Linked DNA regions of Tamandua tetradactyla. The protein of the gene in region 2 interacts with the protein of the main gene of each other region in a pairwise test. Links are inferred from orthologs where the notes say so. Each region holds a gene or a part of one and is shown on either strand. Other genes may lie near its edges. The genes, in order: TXN and FST.

What was found.
Region 1: the proteins of FST (region 2) and TXN interact in binary tests that used the Homo sapiens proteins (3 or more experiments, as listed by UniProt). The link is inferred for Tamandua tetradactyla from reciprocal best matches to the Homo sapiens genes FST and TXN.

Annotation. Positions count from the first base shown.
Region 1 is NC_135328.1:29,238,057-29,247,519, forward strand, and holds the start of TXN (thioredoxin), read right to left. Parts: upstream 4,696-9,463; 5' UTR 4,574-4,695; coding exon 4,550-4,573; intron 535-4,549; coding exon 430-534; intron 1-429. UniProt on the Homo sapiens protein: Participates in various redox reactions through the reversible oxidation of its active center dithiol to a disulfide and catalyzes dithiol-disulfide exchange reactions.
Region 2 is NC_135335.1:99,584,853-99,594,783, reverse strand, and holds the start of FST (follistatin), read right to left. Parts: upstream 4,387-9,931; 5' UTR 4,370-4,386; coding exon 4,285-4,369; intron 2,407-4,284; coding exon 2,215-2,406; intron 1,764-2,214; coding exon 1,545-1,763; intron 1,206-1,544; coding exon 981-1,205; intron 317-980; coding exon 86-316; intron 1-85. UniProt on the Homo sapiens protein: Multifunctional regulatory protein whose primary function is to antagonize members of the transforming growth factor beta (TGF-beta) superfamily including activin, myostatin, GDF11 or bone morphogenetic proteins (BMPs).

The DNA.
Region 1 (9,463 bases), on a different chromosome or scaffold from region 2:
AAAAATAGAAAAAATATATATATACTTAGGAAAAAATGCAGTCAACATACCCAAGCCTCCTAAATGGAAGCTTAAACTTAGAGACTAAGTAAAATTCTAAAACTTTAAACTAGAAACCAGATAGGTAAAGGGACATACATTTTCTCTGAATAAATTCCTCCTAGATTAAAATAATCTGTCACATCAACTCTGAAACCTGCATTTCAAATAGGATCCACATTTCAACTTTAATAAGCACAATACCATTGAAGACCAACCAAATTAACTTCTGAAAGTTGTCGTGAATAAGTTACACGCACCATATTTAAAATTTGTTATGCTACTTTTAAACCAAAGATCCCAAAACAAAATGAAGTAAGTCCTTTTCCCTCCTCTCCTAACCCCAAAACCAGAAATTTCTTACAAAGTAAAAGCTGTTTTAATACTCACATGGAAGAAAGGCTTGATCATTTTACAGGGCCCACACCACGTGGCTGAGAAATCAACTACTACAAGTTTATCTCCTGCTTCTTTCAAGGCTGCCAAAAAATCTTCCTGTGGCAAGAAAAAGAAAAGCAGATGCTAAGTTTTATTTCTAAAAGCCCTGGAAACTTGATAGGACAAAAAGCACAACTTGTAGTTTTTAACTTTCAGAACCCCTCTCTTAGACAAAGAAAACAAAAACAAATAAACCCCCCAAAAAACTAGGCTGAAGGAGTCCTGTACATTTGTTGGTAGTGTTCCTTGATAAGATGAAAGAAGATATAATGTATATATAATGCATCAACACACGTGCTCATGAACATATTTCTTAAAATACTGTTATTGTCTAATATACATCCAAGCTATGTGAAGAAAGAAAAATAAAAATAAGACTTTGTATTAAAATGTTTCCACATAAGTCTAGGCATACTGTAAACATTTACTAAATGCTACTGATGGATCATCAAAGGGGTCACTTCAATTAAAGTCACAAAGGCATGGAATTTTACAGATGAAACATCAAAAAGTTACCTTAAAAAAAAAAAAGCTAATGCTTCTGATTAAACTAGTATCATCTATGGTAGAAAATGTGAAAAGCTCAAAAGTCAAGGATAATAACCTCCTCCAAATCCCAACACACTCAGGCAACTCCTGACAGTACAGTTCCTTGTACTCTTTTTTTTTCCTATCGGTATCTAGACAGTTTATATCGTTTATCAGTCTTTGATTTCTGTCCTTTATCTCAAAACTCTGTACTCATGGTTGATTAAATGAACAATGGTTTTAGCTCCCATGAAGGAATATTATTTTGCACAAGGAATGCATGATAAATAAATTCCACCAGCAGAAATGATCAAGAAATCCCTCCCCACCAACTGCGGTGAATTATTTACCAATGGTCTGGCTGCCGTAACCCTAGGAACCTAACCTCATTTTAACCACAAGTCGTTAGTGTTGACTAAGAAACAGGCAATGAGGAAAAATCAAAACATAAATATCTATATCCAAAGTCAAGGCTTCACTGCTGATCACAGTGAATTAAAAACTAGCACTATCCCTCCACCCTGCTGCCTCTCCACTAAGAATCACATCATATCTGGGCCCATGAAGAAGTCAATTAGTACAATACGAAGTGGAAAAATAGTGTGAATGACTCCCATGCAATATGGTGACTCCTCTAGATTCCTAGTTTCTACCTCATGTTTTTGGGGAAACAATTCACAACAAATGTTCCTTCCTGAGACTGGAACGCCATGACTTCTGTAAGCTTGGCAGTTATGCAGGTCCGATTCCTCCTCTAACTCGCATCTTCGGGTGTGGGGTGGAGGGAGTAAGAAGTACAGAAATGTTTTCAAAATCACCACTGATTTGGAAAGATGTATTTCATTCAAAGCCTTCCCTCATGTGACTTTTAGAAGAACAAACTACCAATTCTTAAGGCAGGATCCAGGGGAGACAATCTGGTCAGACAAACATATGTCTTTTTGAACATGACTGGTCCTTAACAAATCACCTTATGAGATTATTTCCAAGAGCTAGAATGTGGTCCAAACACTCATATATTTTCTCCCAAAACATTCTGAATCAAATTCAAGGAAAACCTCTTAAAATTCCAAAAACAATACGTCTTGGCACAGCTACACATGAATTACAGAGTCAGGTATGCATACAAATTCTCTTCTCCCAATGTTTTACCTAAAACAAACATCACTCTGAAAATTATTCTAGATTACTTTATGAAGTATACCACAATTTCTAGCACCCAGAAACTAGCAATAAGGATTCAATAAATGGCCTCATCACTGACACAAATAATTTGAGGACAAAAACAACATAGTTGGCATTAACAAATAAATAGCAGTAAAGTCTGGCATCTCTTTTCCCCAACATAACTGTCCAAAGGTAGTGAGCTCAAAGAGCAACACTTGTCTGTAAAGCATTTTAGCAAGGAGCCTGGTGCATGTAAGATAGAGGAAGTTCAATTAATAGTAACTACTATCCTTTCTTCCTAAAAATACCTTTGTACTGACTCCACCCCCCCCCCCCACTTCTAGTTAGTTCAGTATCCCATCCCTAGTGGCCCTGAACTACCAAAAGTACCACAGAAATAGGCAATCTAAGATGTATTCAATATTTACAAATCAAATTACAGTGCAACTCATTTGATCAATGACTCTGGGCCATAATTCTGAATGTCAACTGACACTGAGTGTCTGGAGCCCTGGTTGTCAGGCTTCAAGTAACCACCTTCCTTTCACCCTGTCCACTCTCTCACTGTAGGGAGAAGGACATCACAATCAGGGCAGCTAGAAGAGTCTAAGACTGAAAAATGGCTGCTCCAGAAATCAAAATCAGTTTTGTTTCTAGTGCGTACTCTGCTCGAGGTCTCTCTCTGGCCTGCTTGTTTAATGGGTTTTCACCTGCTAAATTCTACCATGGGGTTGCAGGCCCTGGAGAGAAGAGACTGGCATGCACTAAGTGTCGAACGAAACTAGGAAGAATCTCGTTTTTCGACCAATTCAGTGGGTTACTAGTTTTAATATAAAAACTCGTACAATTTTAGAAGTCCAGTTACTACTAATCAAAGATAAAATGAGATTGAGACTGTTTGTCTTTACCATGGATTTGGACAAAATTAATAGGTTTGAAAAAGTCAGCACTGATGAGGTGGGAATGAAAGGAGCACTGTCATAATACTGGCACCACTTACATTCATGCCCCTTGACCAAACGATTGCACTTGAGATTTTAACGTTTTAAGAAAATAAAAAACCTGCTGAACACTGTACAAAGCTTTATGGGAAAAAAAAAGTTTTCACTGAAACGTTGAAAACTGCCCAGATGTTCAGTAATGTGTTCAGACACTGAAATGATTACCAAGAACTTTTAATTACAAGAAAAGTGTTCAGGCTAAATGGGGGGACGGGGCAGGACGGGGCGGGTAGAGAAAGCCCTAAACAAAACAAGTATATGTAAAATAATCTCAATTACTTTGGGCCCCTCCCAAATTTCCTACAACGATCACATTTGGTTCCTGATCATAAAAGGAAAAAGAAAAAATACCATTACAGAGACACTTTCGTTTCCAAAGCCCACCTCACCACGAAACAGGCACTAGAGGCCCCCCCTTCTGCTTTTCTCGCGCGTTCAGGCAGTTTTCTTTCTTTCACTCTCCAGACTGTATTTAACAAATATCTGAGTGGCTACCCAGGCCCTGAGCTTTTCAATCAGGAGGGTATTAGGCGTGCAATAAATCCAATACGGGAATAATTTTTGCCTTTGGGCTCTTTTGAAAGGATGACCCACTGCCTGGTACCCGAAGGCGTCGGGTCCCAGGGCGAACCCAATGGCTGGTTTAAGCACCGACCGCCGGGCCCGGGCCTCGCGGACTGAGTCACGCCGAAGCCAGCGCTGCCGGAAACCCGCCCCGCGCCGAGGGAGGAGTCGGGTGGGCGCGGCCCGGACCTCACTTCCCCGCCGCCACCTGGGGCCTCTCGCGCCACCTCTGCCCTGGGGACCTCGGAAAGGGCTCGGGGGACTCCCGGCCAGGTCCACGTACCCAGGGATGTCCCCAGCCGGACCCGTCCTCTAGGCGCGGGCAAAGCCTCGTCATCTTTGGGATCCGACAGTGATGGAGGCAGCCGGAGGTTGGGGGAGCGGGGAGGGGCCACCCACCCCGGGCCTTCTGCACGGGGCCTTCCCTCTCCTGGCCAGGGTTCGAATTCGGATACACATGGGGACAAGGCCTGACCCGCTCTGTGTCCTCACCTTTCCCCGTTTAGTCTCCCAGATGGGGACTGCTGGAGGCGCAGTACAGGGGGGCCCCCGGGCGCACTGGGCAGCCCGGCCCCCTGGTCGTTACCCCCACCGCCCCCGAGCATGGCCCCCTGGTCGCTACCCCCCACCGCCCCCGAGCACACTCTTCCGTCCCCCGCGCGCCCAGGCCCGGCTTCTCGGAGCCACAGGCCGAGCCGCCGCCTCCCCCTTCCCCAGGGATGAGGAGGGCCGGGATCCCCAGCTCCCTCCCATCGCCTTCCCCGGCTGCCGAGGCTTCGCAGCGCGCCTTGCCCTTGCCCGGGAGGCCGTACCTGGCTGCCGATCTGCCGCACCATGTTGGCTGCTGAGCGTCTGGTGACCGACTATAGCATACGCCAACGAAAACCCAAAGAGCGGGACCAAGGCTGGGAATAGAGCGCGCCGCCTGTCCTACCTTTATAGCGCGGTGGGGGGGGGCGGGGCGGGCGGGGGCGCGCCCGGCGTGCGTGGGACGGGGACGCGCCCGCCCAGTCTCTGTCGGCGCAAGGCTCTGCCTCTCGGGACTGGCGAGCGCGGCGTCCGGGAGGAGGCCCGGGCGAGGCCGAGGCGGGGCCGAGGCGGGGCCCAGCTGGGCACCAGGGTCTCCCCTTTCCCTTGCTCCCGAATACCCGCCCTGTCGCCTCGCTGGCTGGGGGTCGTCGGGCAACCTAAAGGGCGTGGTCTCTGCTCCACAGCGTGGGGAGGCGGCCGGCCACTCCCAGGGCCATGATGTCCCTCTTGGGTCACCCGCGAAGGGGTCTACGAGGCCTTGCGCTAACGCCCCCCGGCTCGACAAGGGGACAGTACCGTGTCCTCCCCGCATGGCTGATTTCTCAGAAAGGCCCGCCACGCCCGCGAACCCCACAAAGTGCTGAGTAACGATGACCAGGACGAAACCGCGGAGTGTGGGCCCCTGCCTCCCTTCCGGAATTTACGGCGACAGTTCTCAGTTGCTCTTTTCCCTCCTTCCTGTTCTTTCACTCTCCGAGGAGCCCGCTGCTGGGGCGTGACGCAGTTTGGGCGTTGGAGGTGGCTGAGGGACTGGCAGGGCGGGAGCGTGGCCGTGGTGAACTCTGCAGTTAAGTTAGGCTGTGGGACCCCGGTGGCTCAGCTTTCCTGTCTGTGGATTGGGAATCCAGCTAGTCTCTATGCCGTGGTGGTGGTGGTGTTGTAAGGAGTTTTTTAGGGTGCTTATAAGATGATCAGCAGAGCTTGGCAAGAGAGTAAGGGCTCAATAAATACTAATAATAGCTATTTCTTGTGAATACTAATTAGGCTTGCTTAGTGTTATGGAAGGTCTGGTTGAGCTTGGTGACGTTACAATTTGCAAATTTGTACTGGCACCATTGTACGCATTTGTGTATTTTTTCTACCGGTGGTGAGAAGCCTGGAACGGAGGAGTTAGATATTTGAGTTGACACAGGGATGCATTGCACATACTTGGCATGTCGGCTCTGTCAGGACAGGAAAGTGTGAAAGGTGAATATGTTAGGTGGAATTGTGAAGCCAGGAGGGCCTGTCAGGAGCTAGAAGGAGAGGGGCGCTGGAGAAGCTGAGAAGCTGAAGGCTGAGTCGGGGGAGGAGGGAGAGCTCTCCCAGCCTGCATTTTCAGAGTCCATCAGCTCTGGGTGAAGCTGGATCTCGGTGTGAAACAGCTCCCTGGCTCACCCTCCACCCTACCACCCTCCCCTGGCTTCCCTCTCTAAACTCTTTCAGACAGAGGAAGGAAGAACCTGGGGTTTTGAACCTATTGTGCAAAGTTTCCAGGGGATTGAAGAGCACCAAGCCATGGGTAAGGATATAGACAAGAGGTCAATTTAAGAAGGGAGATGGACTGCCCTGAATGTAGCAGCCTTCCCAGAGTAAGGAGCATTGGGGCAAAGTGGGGTTGGTTGTGTGTGTGTGTGTGTGTGTGTGTGTGTGTGTTATGTGTTACTGGAATAATATTTAACTTGCTTATTTGCTGCTGTGTCTCAAGCCCAGCCTACACCCCTGGTTCTGGACCTAATAGTTGGTGCGTTTACATGGCAGACAACACAGATAATTAAGCTATAGGGAGGGAAGGCGCACATTTTCAGTGGGTGCCCAGGCTGCTCTCTGCTGACATTTCCCTCTCCTCTTCAAGGAACTTCCAAACGTCCAATGACTCAGTCACAGGAGGGACCAACCCACTCCCAACTTCCCCAGGATCAATATAGATGGATGTGGAGAATGTTACATTTTTAGAAAACCAGGAATCAGGAAGCTAATGTGTATGTAACAATCACCAACTCTGCATTTAGACTGCCTGGTTCTTGTCCACACTCTGTAACAGGGTAACTCTAGGCAAGTCTAGGAAGACTTTCTGTGCCTCAATTTCCTTATCTGTAAAATGGGGGTAATAATGCCTTGTGCTCTTGTAAGAGTTGAATGAGGTACAACAGATGTAAAGTGCTGAGAACTGTGCCTGGCACAAACTAAGTGCTATACGAACTGTGAATGGAACCAAATGAAACTCAGTTTCCCACATTACTGTAGGCAGGAACTTTGCTTCTTAGGGCCAAGGCCATCCCACTTTTCCCCCATCCTCTGGGGGAAAAAAAGGCCTTTTTCTTTAAGACTCATATAATAGAGCTGACTGCTTATTACTGATTTTGTGACTTACCTAAGTCTCTGGCTGGTTTACCATATGCTTTTCCATCCTAGCTTTTCCCTCATTCCAAAGGGATTTCACCCTTTCATTCAATTCCACTCACAGTTTGTATAGCACTTAGTACCTCGTTCAAACGGTGACATAAATGCATTCATTTGGGGGATTGGCTCTGTGTATTAGAACTCTCAGCTGCAAGGAAAAAGTACAGCTCAAATTGATTTAAACTGAAAAGACAATTACTAACTCATATTTCCAGTAACTCCAGGGGTTTAAAGGTGTTATTCTCAGGCAGTTTCTCCCCACCTTGTTGAAGATGGACCACCAGCAGCTCCAGGCTTAGGTACCTACTAGTTTAGCATCCCTGCAGGCAGAGCATCTCTATCCCTTGTTCTTGTAAACATCCTGGAAGCTGACTTTCTTTGGGCTTGAACCTGGAGTTGAGAGGTAGGGGAGCAGGGCGGGGAAAAGGAGTATCAGACTTCCTTGAACCACCTTGACAAAGAGTGTGGAAAATCCAGGGGTTACCAGAAAAGCCACAAATGGATCATGGGCAGGCAAAACCAATATTTCCATGTCATCAAGAAGTGCAGAAACCAGTAATATGGAGGAATCAGCTTGCTTCAGATTTCTGGGTCAGCTCAGTCTGAGTCTCCATGTGGGACTGGAGAACTAGGTGCTGTCTTTCTTAGGGTCCCAACTTGGATTTGGGGGGAAATGCAGCACAAAGGTCTCTGAAGCAAGCTTTTATTTTATAGATTTCTCAAAGTGTGGTTTTGAACGCCTAATTTGGTATAGTAATACTGCAGATTCCTCGACCACATACAGACAGACCTATGGAACCACAGTCTTTTGGGCTAAAGCTCTGGAATCTGCATTTTAAAAAGCATTCTATTCCAAGTAATTACTCACACCAAGATTTGATTAACTCTGCTCTGGGCTTTTCCAGAGAGAGGCCAGCATTAAATAAGTTTGAAGAATGTGTCTGGCAAGGGAGTTGAAAGAAGGGTAAAAGGAAATATGGTAAGTGACAAAAAAACAGGGAGCTCAAGGTACTATGTTAAAGAAGGTAGGAGGAAAATAAGAGAACACTTAAGGACAATATTAGGTGCCTGCCATGCCCAGTGTTGGGTGTGTCCCATCATTTCTTAGGAAATAAGTATTCTTTCCCTAGATGAGAGAAGAGGAAACAGGTTCAAAGAGGCCACGTGGACACACCAAAAGACTCGCCCCATTCTTATACCTCATTCATGAAGAAGAGGAGGGAAAGTGCCAACACAGTTTTTGAGCCCATACACATATCATGAATACTCATTGCACCACTGAAAACTATCTAGCGTCTCTTATGCTAATTTATAAACTCTAACTATAGGGATATTTGACTAGTTTGTAGTCTCTTTGCTCCTAGACCTCAAGGAGAAGGCAGTTTTGATTAGCTTCCCTACTGCCATTCCCCTGTATTCCTTTGCTGCCAGTGCTTGGATTTGGTTCTAGTTTCAACAGCAACTCAGGGCTAAAATCCAATTAATCTAAACCGATCATCATCCCATTTCCCCTGCCAGGCATGATTTAGGAAAATCAGGTGACTCGATCCTTGCCAATAATAAGACTTGAGAAGGTGGCTAGACTTCTGGGAAAGGTCTCCTCACTTACAAAAATACACATGAAAGGAAGCCTCCTCCTTCTGCTGGAAAAGGTCATGTCTGGTTGTGATGCCTGGGACTGGACAGCCTGTTTGTAACCATGAGGTAAACTAGGACAAACACAGCACGGTGGTGAGATGGAAGGAACCTGAGTCCACGACGATGTTTCAGTGAAATACCGAATCTTGGAGCCTCTCTAACTGAAGACTTACTGTAATGTGAGATAATATAATTCCCTAACTGCTTACACCATTTTATGTGGCTGTTGTAAGAAATTTGGCATTGGCTGAGTGGAAGGAGCTAAGGCGGGGGATGCAGTGAGGATTAACTTGACGAAATTCTGTAGGATGTTGGAATACAGAGGAATCTGATGACCCAACAGGGAACTAAACTCCATTGGAAAGTCCTGTGTCTCACCTCTTAACCAAACAGTGTGTCATGTGATCCCATGGGAGCACCGCTGACCAGTGTGGTGACCACTAGCCACAAGTGCCTGTGAAACACTTGAAACATGGCTAGTGTGACAGAGAAACTGGATTTTAAATTTTATTCAATGTTTATTAATTTTAACTGAAAAAAACCTATGCTAGATTCAGTTACTGCAAAACTTTGAAGTATGTTTGAAACAACGCTGATATGTGAATCTCTTTTTAACTATAAACTTTATGGAATCTAAGCACAGATCATGTATTTCCAATGAAAATTTAGCATCCAAATTGCGACCTACTGCAAAGTCTGTAATACACACCAGGTTTTGAAGGTTTCGGAGGAAAGCAAGCAATGTGAAGTATCTCACTGACGTTTTTATATCAATTGTATGTTGAAATGATAATACTTTGGAAAGGTTAGGTTAAATAAAATCTATTATTTAAATGAATTTCACATTTTTTTTTTGTTATCTTTTTAAATGGCTAGTACAAAATTTAAAAGTGTAT
Region 2 (9,931 bases):
AGGTTTGCGTGCTTTTTAAGTCTCTACTCCCTAGAGTTTGCCTGGGAAAGCCTCTAATTGCAGCAAGGTTAAAAAGTGCACTTACAGTTGCAAGATCCGGAGTGCTTTACTTCTAGCAGCACACCTGAGGAACAGGCAGCTTCCTTCATGGCACACTCACTGGCATAAGTAGCATTGTCACTGGCACAGACAGGCTCGTCAGACTTACTCTCAGGGCACAGCTCATCACAGAGGGAACACCGGCCTCTGCCAACTTTGAAATCCCATAAACATTTTTTTCCACCAGTGCACTGAATGTCTTCACAGGACTTTGCTTCTAGGATATAATACATTTGTAATGAGTAAATGGATTTTCCCTTTCTCCAGTCCTCTATCAATAAATATAAACACAGTTTATAACTTATTTCTCAAGAATGGGGATAATGGAGATATTAGGCAAAAATGCTCAGTTATAAAGCTGAAACACCCACACACCCCCACAGCTTCTTACATACTACATTTGTGTATGAAAATAGCAATTTTGGGAACAGCATTTCACACTTCCCTTGAATTAAATAAGTATCTGATTATTTCCCCACAAGTAGGATCTTTTAAAAAAGAAAAGAATTCCACCAGCTATTGGAATCTGATAACAGATTTTAGGAACTGTTAAGTAATTATTTCTCTCTTCTAACAAGTCTAGCACTTGAAAAAAAACTTGTAAAATTGAGTTATAAATTTGCCACGATGGTAAATTATTTGCTGCTTCTTGTAGCATTTGAATATATATGCCAGTGCTTCCACAAGACAGTGATTTCCATGAAGAATGCTGTAGCCAAGAGAGTTTACCCAAACTGGAGAGTTATCTTTCCTTCTGGTGAAACTACACATTTAAGAAGGCTTTGGGCTTTATTTATTGGTTAATGCCACAGTTATAATACTAGAAGTAGCCCTCTTAATCCTTTGTTTTCTCTTTTCTTCCTTCAATCCTGAATACCTACTGATACACTTTCCCTCGTAGGCTAATCCAATCGATCTGCCCAGCAGGCAGGTAGCCTTTCGCAGGTGGCAGGCGCTAGAGTAGGTCACTCCATCGTTCCCACAGAGATACTGCTCAGAGGAGGTAGGCTCTGGGCAAATCCGATTACATGTCACACAGTAGGCATTATTGGTCTGATCTACCACACATGTGGAGCTGCCCGGACAGAAAACATCCCGACAGGTCTCTGAAACAAAGAGGTAATACACATTAATGGGCATATTATCAAGGAAATCATGAAACTAAAGCATCAACTATCAAAAGGCACTCTGCGAGTCCCGTGGCTTAAGAGAATATCTAGGACTCTAGGCTGGTCTTTTCCTTCTTAATGAGTCTTTAGAAATTAGAAAGCGGTTCCTCTATTGACTATCACTATTATTATTACTATCATCATCATTATTATTATAAGGCTCTTAGCGAGGACTATGCCATCCTTGAGGGTGAAAGCTGGAGCCAGAGTTGGTCCTTCTGGGTGCGTGTGTATGGGGTGGGGGTAGTGTTTTTGCTCAAGAAGGGTAGAACCTACTTTTACATTTGCCCTGATACTGGACTTCCAGTTCCGGCTGCTCTTTACATCTGGCCTTGAGGAGTGCACATTCGTTACGGTAGGTTTTCCCGTCCAGCCCGCAGACGGGGCCCTTCCAGGTGATGTTGGAACAATCCGGGGCACAGACGCAACGGGGTTTGTTCTTCTTGTTCATTCGGCACTTTTTCCCGGGTCCACAGTCTACGTTCTCACACGTTTCTGTGAGTTGGAAAGAGGCACGAGTGAGAACCACGGCGGGGCAGGCTGCAGGTCAGCCAGGAGGGCTGCGGGTGCCTCGTGGAAAGGTGCAGAGTTCATGCTCTGGGGTGGGGGTTGCGGAATGGGGCAGGTTTTCTCCTAGAAACCCTGGAGAGGGTGAAGGAATGGACTGTGCGCTTCGCCCTGGATGCTCAAATCTCTCTCAAAGAGGGCGGGCAGGCTGGCTTCAGCAGCACACTTGGCTAAGAAGTTAGGACATCTCTGCCTATCCTGTTTTGCATATAGTGTCTAACAGACTGGGTGCGACCCAAACGGATTAGCAGCGCTGGGGGACAGAAAGGGGGCCCACCAACAAAGCTCTTCTGGTCTCAAACCCCAGCCGGGCAGCAGGGAAGCTGAGGGTAAGACGCCCTCTACTGAGGGCCTGCAAGCTGGAGAGAAAAAGTCCTACCTTTACAGGGGATGCAGTTGGGGGCGCCCCCATTGAAAATCATCCACTTGAAGAGTGTGTTGTCATTCACATCCTCCTCAGTCCACGAGGTGCTCAGGCGGCCGGTGTTGCAGCACTCCTCCTTGCTCAGCTCCGTCTTGTACAGGACCTGGCAGCGGCCGTTTTTCGCCTGGCGGAGCCAGCAATTCCCAGCTGCGAAAAGACAGGGGTGGGGAGGTGGGTGAGTGTGCGGCGGGGTAGGGGGAAGGAGGCGGCGAGCGTGCGACGGAAGGAGCACCGGTGGCAATGGGGAGGGAGTAAGCGTGGAGGAAGGGAAGAGAGGAAGAGACCAGGGAGAAAAGCAGAAAATAAATCGAAGGGGGTAGGAAATGGGAAAAGCGAGGGAAAAAGGCCCAGATCTGAGAAGTGGGAGGTGGGCGAGGGGGAGGGAGGGCGAGGGCGAGCAGCCAGAGCGCCCCAGCCATATCAATGTCAGTTACCAGTGACCCAGACACAACACGTGCAGCTTGCATTGACTTTTACTAGACTGTTTACTTTTATTCGTCCCATTTCATAACCTGCAGCGACTCGAAGAGCAGATTAAAGAACCTGACAAAAACAGGATGCGACGGATGTTTTTACATGTTGGTTTCATGTGGGCGGTACGGGTATTATTTGTGACAGAGGTTAGGAAAGTAAGAGAACTTGAGAGAGGCAGACACCGACACGCGCAGGAGCAGATAAGCAAAAGGAACACGTAAGAAATGAAAGCAAAAAAAAAAAAAAAAAAAAAAAAGCAACCGGGCCTGGCTGGGAGCTGCCCCGCACGGCCCCGAGGCGCAGCCTGCCCGACGGGCCGTTTTGCAATCGCCAGACCCAGAGGACGCCCAGGGCCACCGCGATCTTTCGAAATCTCCGAGGGCTGCCTTCCCCCGGCGCCCAAGTCTCTGCATCCGGGCAGTGCCTTGCCCCGAAAGGCGGGCAACTGAGCGTGGAGCCATGCAGACGGCTAGGGGCAGTGCCCAGGAGGGCAGTTTACAACACATGTAAAATATTAACGGCAAACCAGGGAAAGTTACACGTTCTGTCTCAGAAAAAGTGTAGAGGGGAGAAAAGAGAAGGGGGTGGGAGAAGCTTCCGAGCATTTCACAGTTACATGTGCCTGTCTCATACCTACCAAGAAATCTTTGCAATTTCTACCCTCCCACCTCCCCTTTCTAATATTCGGATTTTGATCAGGAAAACCTCTCACCAATATGACTCGTTCAATCATCGGACCCGCAAGCTATTATTTTTATTTTTTGAAAAAAATCTGCCCAAAGACTCATTGAAATAACAGACCTAATTGCAAAAGTCAAACTTTAGAAACTTGCTCTTGATCCACCTCAGAATTTAAATCGGTTGTGGGCTCCTCAATGTTCTACAGAAAGTTAACAGTCAGAGGAAGGAGGCAAAGGTGGGGGGGTGGGGAAGGAAGCTACTCCTAAAACACTCCGGGTTAATAGTTTGGGTTATTTATTTATTTAGCAAGGTGGGTGGTGGGTGATGGGTGGTGGGTGGTGGGTGGGAGAGGGTTGGAAGAAGCATCCACTAGGCAGAAAGCTACTTCCCGTTCAGCACCCACATTTCCAAGTTTGGGAAAAGTTTCTGAAACCACGTCCCCCAACCACCGAAGGAAAACTCAGTATCCTTCTTTCCCCTAGTAATTTTTTTGAAGTATCCGAAAGATGTGGGAGGGAGAATTGTTAGACTGCGAATGGGTCGACCAAAATCTTCAGGCTACTGATGCTTGTCCCTTTCTTGAGGGCCATAAGGGGAGATAACATCTAAAACTTGGAGCATCTAACCCTAACTACTGAGACTCCCGCTCACTCCCTTTCCTTTTTAAGGATAACCGAACTCCCAACTCCTCTTCCAGACCTAAAGTGTCACTGCCTTCAGTTTTCCCACTCTCTCCATCCCGGAGTCTTTAAGTCGGTCCAACATCTTCAGTGAGCAGCGTTGCTGAGAACAGACCAAGTGGAGACGACAGAAAAGTACAAACTCATGCCCTCAGCCGAGCCTCCCCAAGCGCGCATCCCCCTCGCTTACCCTGGGCGCTACGGTCCTCCATGAACTGGCAGAGCAGCAGCAGCAGGAGGCAGAGCCCGCCGGGTTGGTGCCTCGGACGGACCATCGTGGGGCAGGCGCCGGGCGAGGAGCGCGGCGGCGCGAGGAGCGGGCGCAGCGGCGGGTGGCTCGGACAAGCGGCGCGCGTCGCAGAGGCGAGCGGCGGAGGGCGCAGCGATCCCGGCGCAGCCCCGCGCTCGCCGCCGGCCGCCCGCGCGATTCAATGGACGTCAGAAGCCGGGCGCAGCCGCGCTTTAAATCTAGACGGGGGTCTCCGCGGTTTGCGGTGGGCGGTCTCCCAGTGTGTGGGGCTGTGGGAGGGCGGCCGCGAGCGAGGGTGTGCGCGGCTCCTTGGGGGTGGGGAGCTTTTAAAAGTTCAGTGTGAATCAGGTGACATTTCCCACCTTCTGGAAACCCTTCCCAATTATCTGTTGGAGGTGCCCGAAATCAAAGCGGCAGGAGGGGAATCGCTGAGTTCTTATTTGCGTAGGAGCGAGAGGGAGGGGGAAGGCGCCGGGGCGGGGGTGGGGGTGGGGGGGCTATGCTTCGGGGGTGGGGAGTGGGGAAGAACACACACTTCAAGTCTTGCACGCTGCCGCTCGCAGGCAACGCCGGCGCGCCCAGGGTGGCGAGTGTGTGTGTGTGTGTGTGTGTGCGTGCGTGTGCGTGTGTGTGAGTGAGGGCGCGGTGGGGGCGCTGGAGGAAGAAGCTACGGGCGGAGCGGGGGGAACCCGGGAGTTGGTCTCCTCACGACGGTTCCTCCGCCCCAGGAAGACTTTGCAAACGCCCAGAGAGACCCAAGCTGCTAAAATAGCCCGCTCGGGGTCGGGACGGAACGCGCCGGCCTCGCGCCTCCGGCGGGGCGCGCTGCTGGGTTAGGCCCCCGCAGCCTTAGGCGCGGGACCCGGTGAGGTTTTGTGTCTGGGTCTGTGCGTGCCTTACTTTGCGGCCAGCCCCGGCCCAGAGTTGTTGCTAAGAACCCCGGCCCCGGCACCTTCCACCCTGGCTAAGCGGTCCACTGACACGGCCCTTCGTCTCGACGAGTCAGAAGCAAACAAAAATGTTTAACACCTCAGGCCCGGCCCCCCACCCCCAGCCCGTCACAGTCGCGCCCTCTCCCTTTCTTTTCTCCCCTTTCACTTCACGGCGTCTGGAATTGGAGCCCCGAGCGGGGGCGCCGACGTAGGCGGTCTGCCCCTCCTCCCCAGCTCAGAGACTCCCCAGTTTCTGTCCTGCGTCTCTGTCTGTCTCTCCCAGTCTCTTTCTCGGCTCTTGGCTCTCCCGCTCTCGCTCTCTCTCTCTCGCTCGCTCTCTCGGTTCGTGGAATAAAAAAGATTGCAACATCGATAATGAACTTCTGTAGCCTCAGTTTGTTAAGCACAGTGCCTGGCATTCTTTGCTGAAAGTTGGCGGGTTTCTCATTTATAACATTTTTGGCACCGCTGAATGAAACTGAGGAGGCGATATTTCCTTTTATATAAAACGATTACTTCACGGAAAATGCTATATTGTTTATTCCAAATCTGCCTTTTAAATTGCTATTCTTTTCGCTTCTGAAACCCTAAGGACAACAGACAGCGAAGTATGCAGACAAAATTCTTGGACATTCGCAGGTCACTGGGATTTGCTCTACGAATTTCAAATCCGCCCCTCTTCGCCCACCTCAACAACACCCCCTCGCCAGCGCCCCCCCCGCGCCACCACAGTCCTCCTCTCGCCCTCCCACCCCCCGTCTACATTAACCCCCCTCTCACCCCCTCCACAACTGCAAATAACTCAGTGATAACAGATTTTTTTCCACCAACTGCAGGAGATAGTGCTAATCTTTTAATAAAAGATCCCATTACAATGGGATCTGTCTGGACAGACTATAATAGATCCCGAAATACAGCCGTGCTAATATTAGAAGACAGTTGTTTGGGTGCCTCTCAGACGGGCCCAAGCCCCGCTTTGAAAGTGGGCATGAATCACAAAGCCCAGCGGCCGCCGCACCTGCACCGCGCGCATTCGGTGCAGCAGGCTGGTAAAAACGGGTGACCTCGTCGCTGCTTTTCGCTTTATAATTACCGTCGTGAGGACGGCAGGGGAGGGGCTTGGGCGGCCTGGGGGAGGCTGGCCTTTTGCCCACTTCAGACGGCTCTGGGGGCTCCACATCCTTCTTAATCTTTCCAGATTCATTCTCTCTCTCGTCTTCTCCCTCTTTCCCTCCCGTCCGCCCGCCCCTTCCCCTCTTCTCTCTTTCCCTCCCTCTTTCCCGGCTCTGCCCCTACTCTCACCCCCTCCCCTTTCTCCCACCCCTCTTTCTTTTCCCGTCTCCCTTTCTCTCTTCCCTCCAAATGCAGCCTTAATGTAGAGTTGTTTAGTGCCCTCTAATGGCAGACATTAACAATTAATAGCAAACTGTCCCCTTTGCAGGAGCCGCCACTCAATGGCAGAGTTCCAAAGCTGAATTTTCTTCTTTATTCAGAGAGATGGATATAGTTCTTATACAGTAATGTGCTGGGGGTGGGGTGGGGGAAGGAAGTTTCTCCTCTTCGAGGCTTTTTTTGGGGGGGGGAAAGCTTAGTTGAGGGAAAGAGGAAAGCTAACATTTTTTGTTACTTGACTTTTTTTTTTCCTGTAGAAATTAGTTTTCAGTAGCAGCAAGGAATGCATCTTCTGTTTTAACCAGGAATATCAAGCCGTGCATCTAGAGTTAGAAAGTAAACCTAAATACATAAGTAACCTTAGCTGGTAGAGGTTGGAATCTTATGGAGGGGCTACCAATGGCCATTAAAAAACTTAATACCAGAACAAATTTACATGAGTTTATATTTGCCCCTGTTTAAATACATTTACTAGTCCTGAATCTTCCTGTCCCCTCTTGGTAGTTAGTATCGTTTCCTTAGACTTTTCATGCTTGTGCTATCCAAAATGTGTAAATTTTAGTAATGCTCTGTCCTGTATGACATCACCTTGCCTAGAGGAATGTAGTCACATTTTAATCCACAGTTTATTTTCTTAATACTAGTGGGAATATTACTTTTGAAGAAGGCAGAACCATACTTTTCTTACATTTTCTAACCCTCTAACAATGAAAAGTGACATAAAATATATGTCCTTATTTTATTTATAGCTTGTTCATTTACATATGTACATATGATATATTTAAATAAATAGGAGTGTACAGATATGCAAAAAATATTATCTTGGGAGAGGATGCAGGGCTAAATGAAAAAAGAATAGAAACTTTTTTTGGCTAATAAAAAAGGTATTTTTCTGGATCTTTGAATAATAAATAATATTTGGTTTATCCAGACAATTAATATCAGCTTATGTATATAGAAGTAATTGGCATCATACAAATTTTCTAAACACAAGAATCTGACCCTGCAATTCCAGTATGATTGTGTAAAAAGTGTAAATTCAGTCTCTCTCTCTCTCTTTTTTTTTTTTGTCTATATAATGCCAAATACTTTGTTTGACCAGTAATTTGACTAAATCGACTGCTTTGACTAGTTGTTTTGGCATCATGTAATTGTCTTGGCTAGGCCCAAGCAGACACAGTAGGCCTCATTGTAAAAAAGTGCCACCGCTCGTATGAGTTTTGCAGACCCGAGGCAGACCTAACACGGGATTTACTTCTCACCCCAGAGAGGGTAGCCATAGAGGTCAGGGTTGAGGTCACTGGCAAACACACTGTGCAAAATACAAATGCTGTGTTGCTTTTGCCCTTGTGAATAAGCAGCCTGGTGTTTGTTTAATGATACAAGCTCATCCTGTTTTTCAGTTGCACCTTGGATAGTATTGATCTGTTTGGGAGAATGTCTGCTCCAAATCTGCACAGATCATTCACTGGGACTCTTGTCCTCCCAGATTACCTTCTGGCCATATCCAAGGAAATGAGACACAGGTCAATACTGGTTCCATATGGGTCTCCTGTGGGCATCAGCAAGAGATCCATCCAATTTCAGCATTACGAGATGGTATCACACCTGTTCAATGACCTCACAGAAAAACAGCTGCTGTTTCTTTTGCTGTTTTATCTTCTGTAAATGTTAAATATTGTGTTTGTAGATATTCGAATGTCAGGAGGACATTTTAAAATAAAAATGCCGTCTTTCATTTTTGTTGTATGTCTCCAAGTTAGACTTCTTATTTTTCTTTCTGCTTTGCCAAAAAAGTAAATGTAAATTATGAGAAACACAATGGGACCACTTTGTAACTGTATTTCTGGGCAGCGCACAAAAAAGACTGCTGTTCTCTGATTGTCTTTTGTCAGCTTCAAAAGATATCTTCCTTTTGAAGTTTATAAATTTAAAATATTAGAGTTTAGCAAATGATTCAATCTAGCTCCCGAGATAGTTACTTGAAATCATATGAATCTGTTGTTTGAGACTAGAAATGATTTGGATAAATTCAGTCCCTCAAAAGAGAATATGGAAGGAGTGGGATGAAGTTGTGTATGGAAAATTTGAAAGCGATGCACTGAGCAACTTTTATCTTTTGCTTTAAATTAAATGACAAACTTTTTTGAAGTTAGGTGTTTTACAAAATGAATATTCAGTTTTCAATGCAAATAACTAATCTTGATTAAGGAACAGAATTTAAGCATTTGAAAACAGGCTGCAATTATGTTAAAATCAGATTTTGTTCTTCTAGGTACAAAAACAGCTACTTAATGCGTCATGGTCTTTGAAATTGTGCAATTTTGTAGTGCTAGGATGAGGATTTGAGGTGGAGTGGGGAATAACAGTTCTGTGTTGGCTGAATTGTTGCAGAACTAAAAAGTTAAGAAATTTGAGTACATAAAAGCAATATTTATTCAGATGTCCAAACCACCAGTTTTCTTTTTCACAAAAGTTATTGAAATATAAGTTTTCTGTACAGTACTGAAAAAACAATGAACTAATTGACTTTTTGTCTTTTCAATGTTGCTTTGGTATTATGTAGATCCAATCAGAGAGTCCTTTCTTTTCATACTACCTATTTCTGGGTAACATTTTAATTGCCTTACTCCCATCTCCAATTTTAGATATATTTTGGATTTCTAGAGTCATCTATCTGTGCTACGTACTCACTTAAAGCAGCACTATCATCATATTCAAGTTTTTCATAATGAGGTAATTAAAAAAAATAGTAAAGAATTCAAATTTGCCTCAGAATAGGAATTTTATGTTGAATTAATAGGAACTTCTAAATATTTTACTGTATTTTAGGTCCATTTGACCAAACAAATGATTTATTTATCTAGATATGTCTGAAAATATCAGTGTGTGAGCTTTAGCAGTTTGAACCCTGATGCCATTTACACTTTCTACTGCTTGGAAGTGTAAGGAGGGTGTTTGTTGTTCTGTTAGTTCACTACGATTAAAGCGGTGAGTTGGTCAGAGTAAGCGCTACTGTTCCTGTTTCATTGGCTGGCTGATGGTCAGTCAGTTTGCTGCAGATTCTTTTGTATATTTGGAGTTCTGCAGCCTCATTTTCCCTTTCCACAGGGTAGCAGTTATTTGCTTACTTTTTAATGAATTCTTTTTTTAGGTGTTTAGCTGTACAATATTACAATCAGCAATAGATACAATTTATCACTCGCATTTTAAAATTAAATTTTATTTTTATATGAATTATCTCTTCTCTAATACCTAATTTG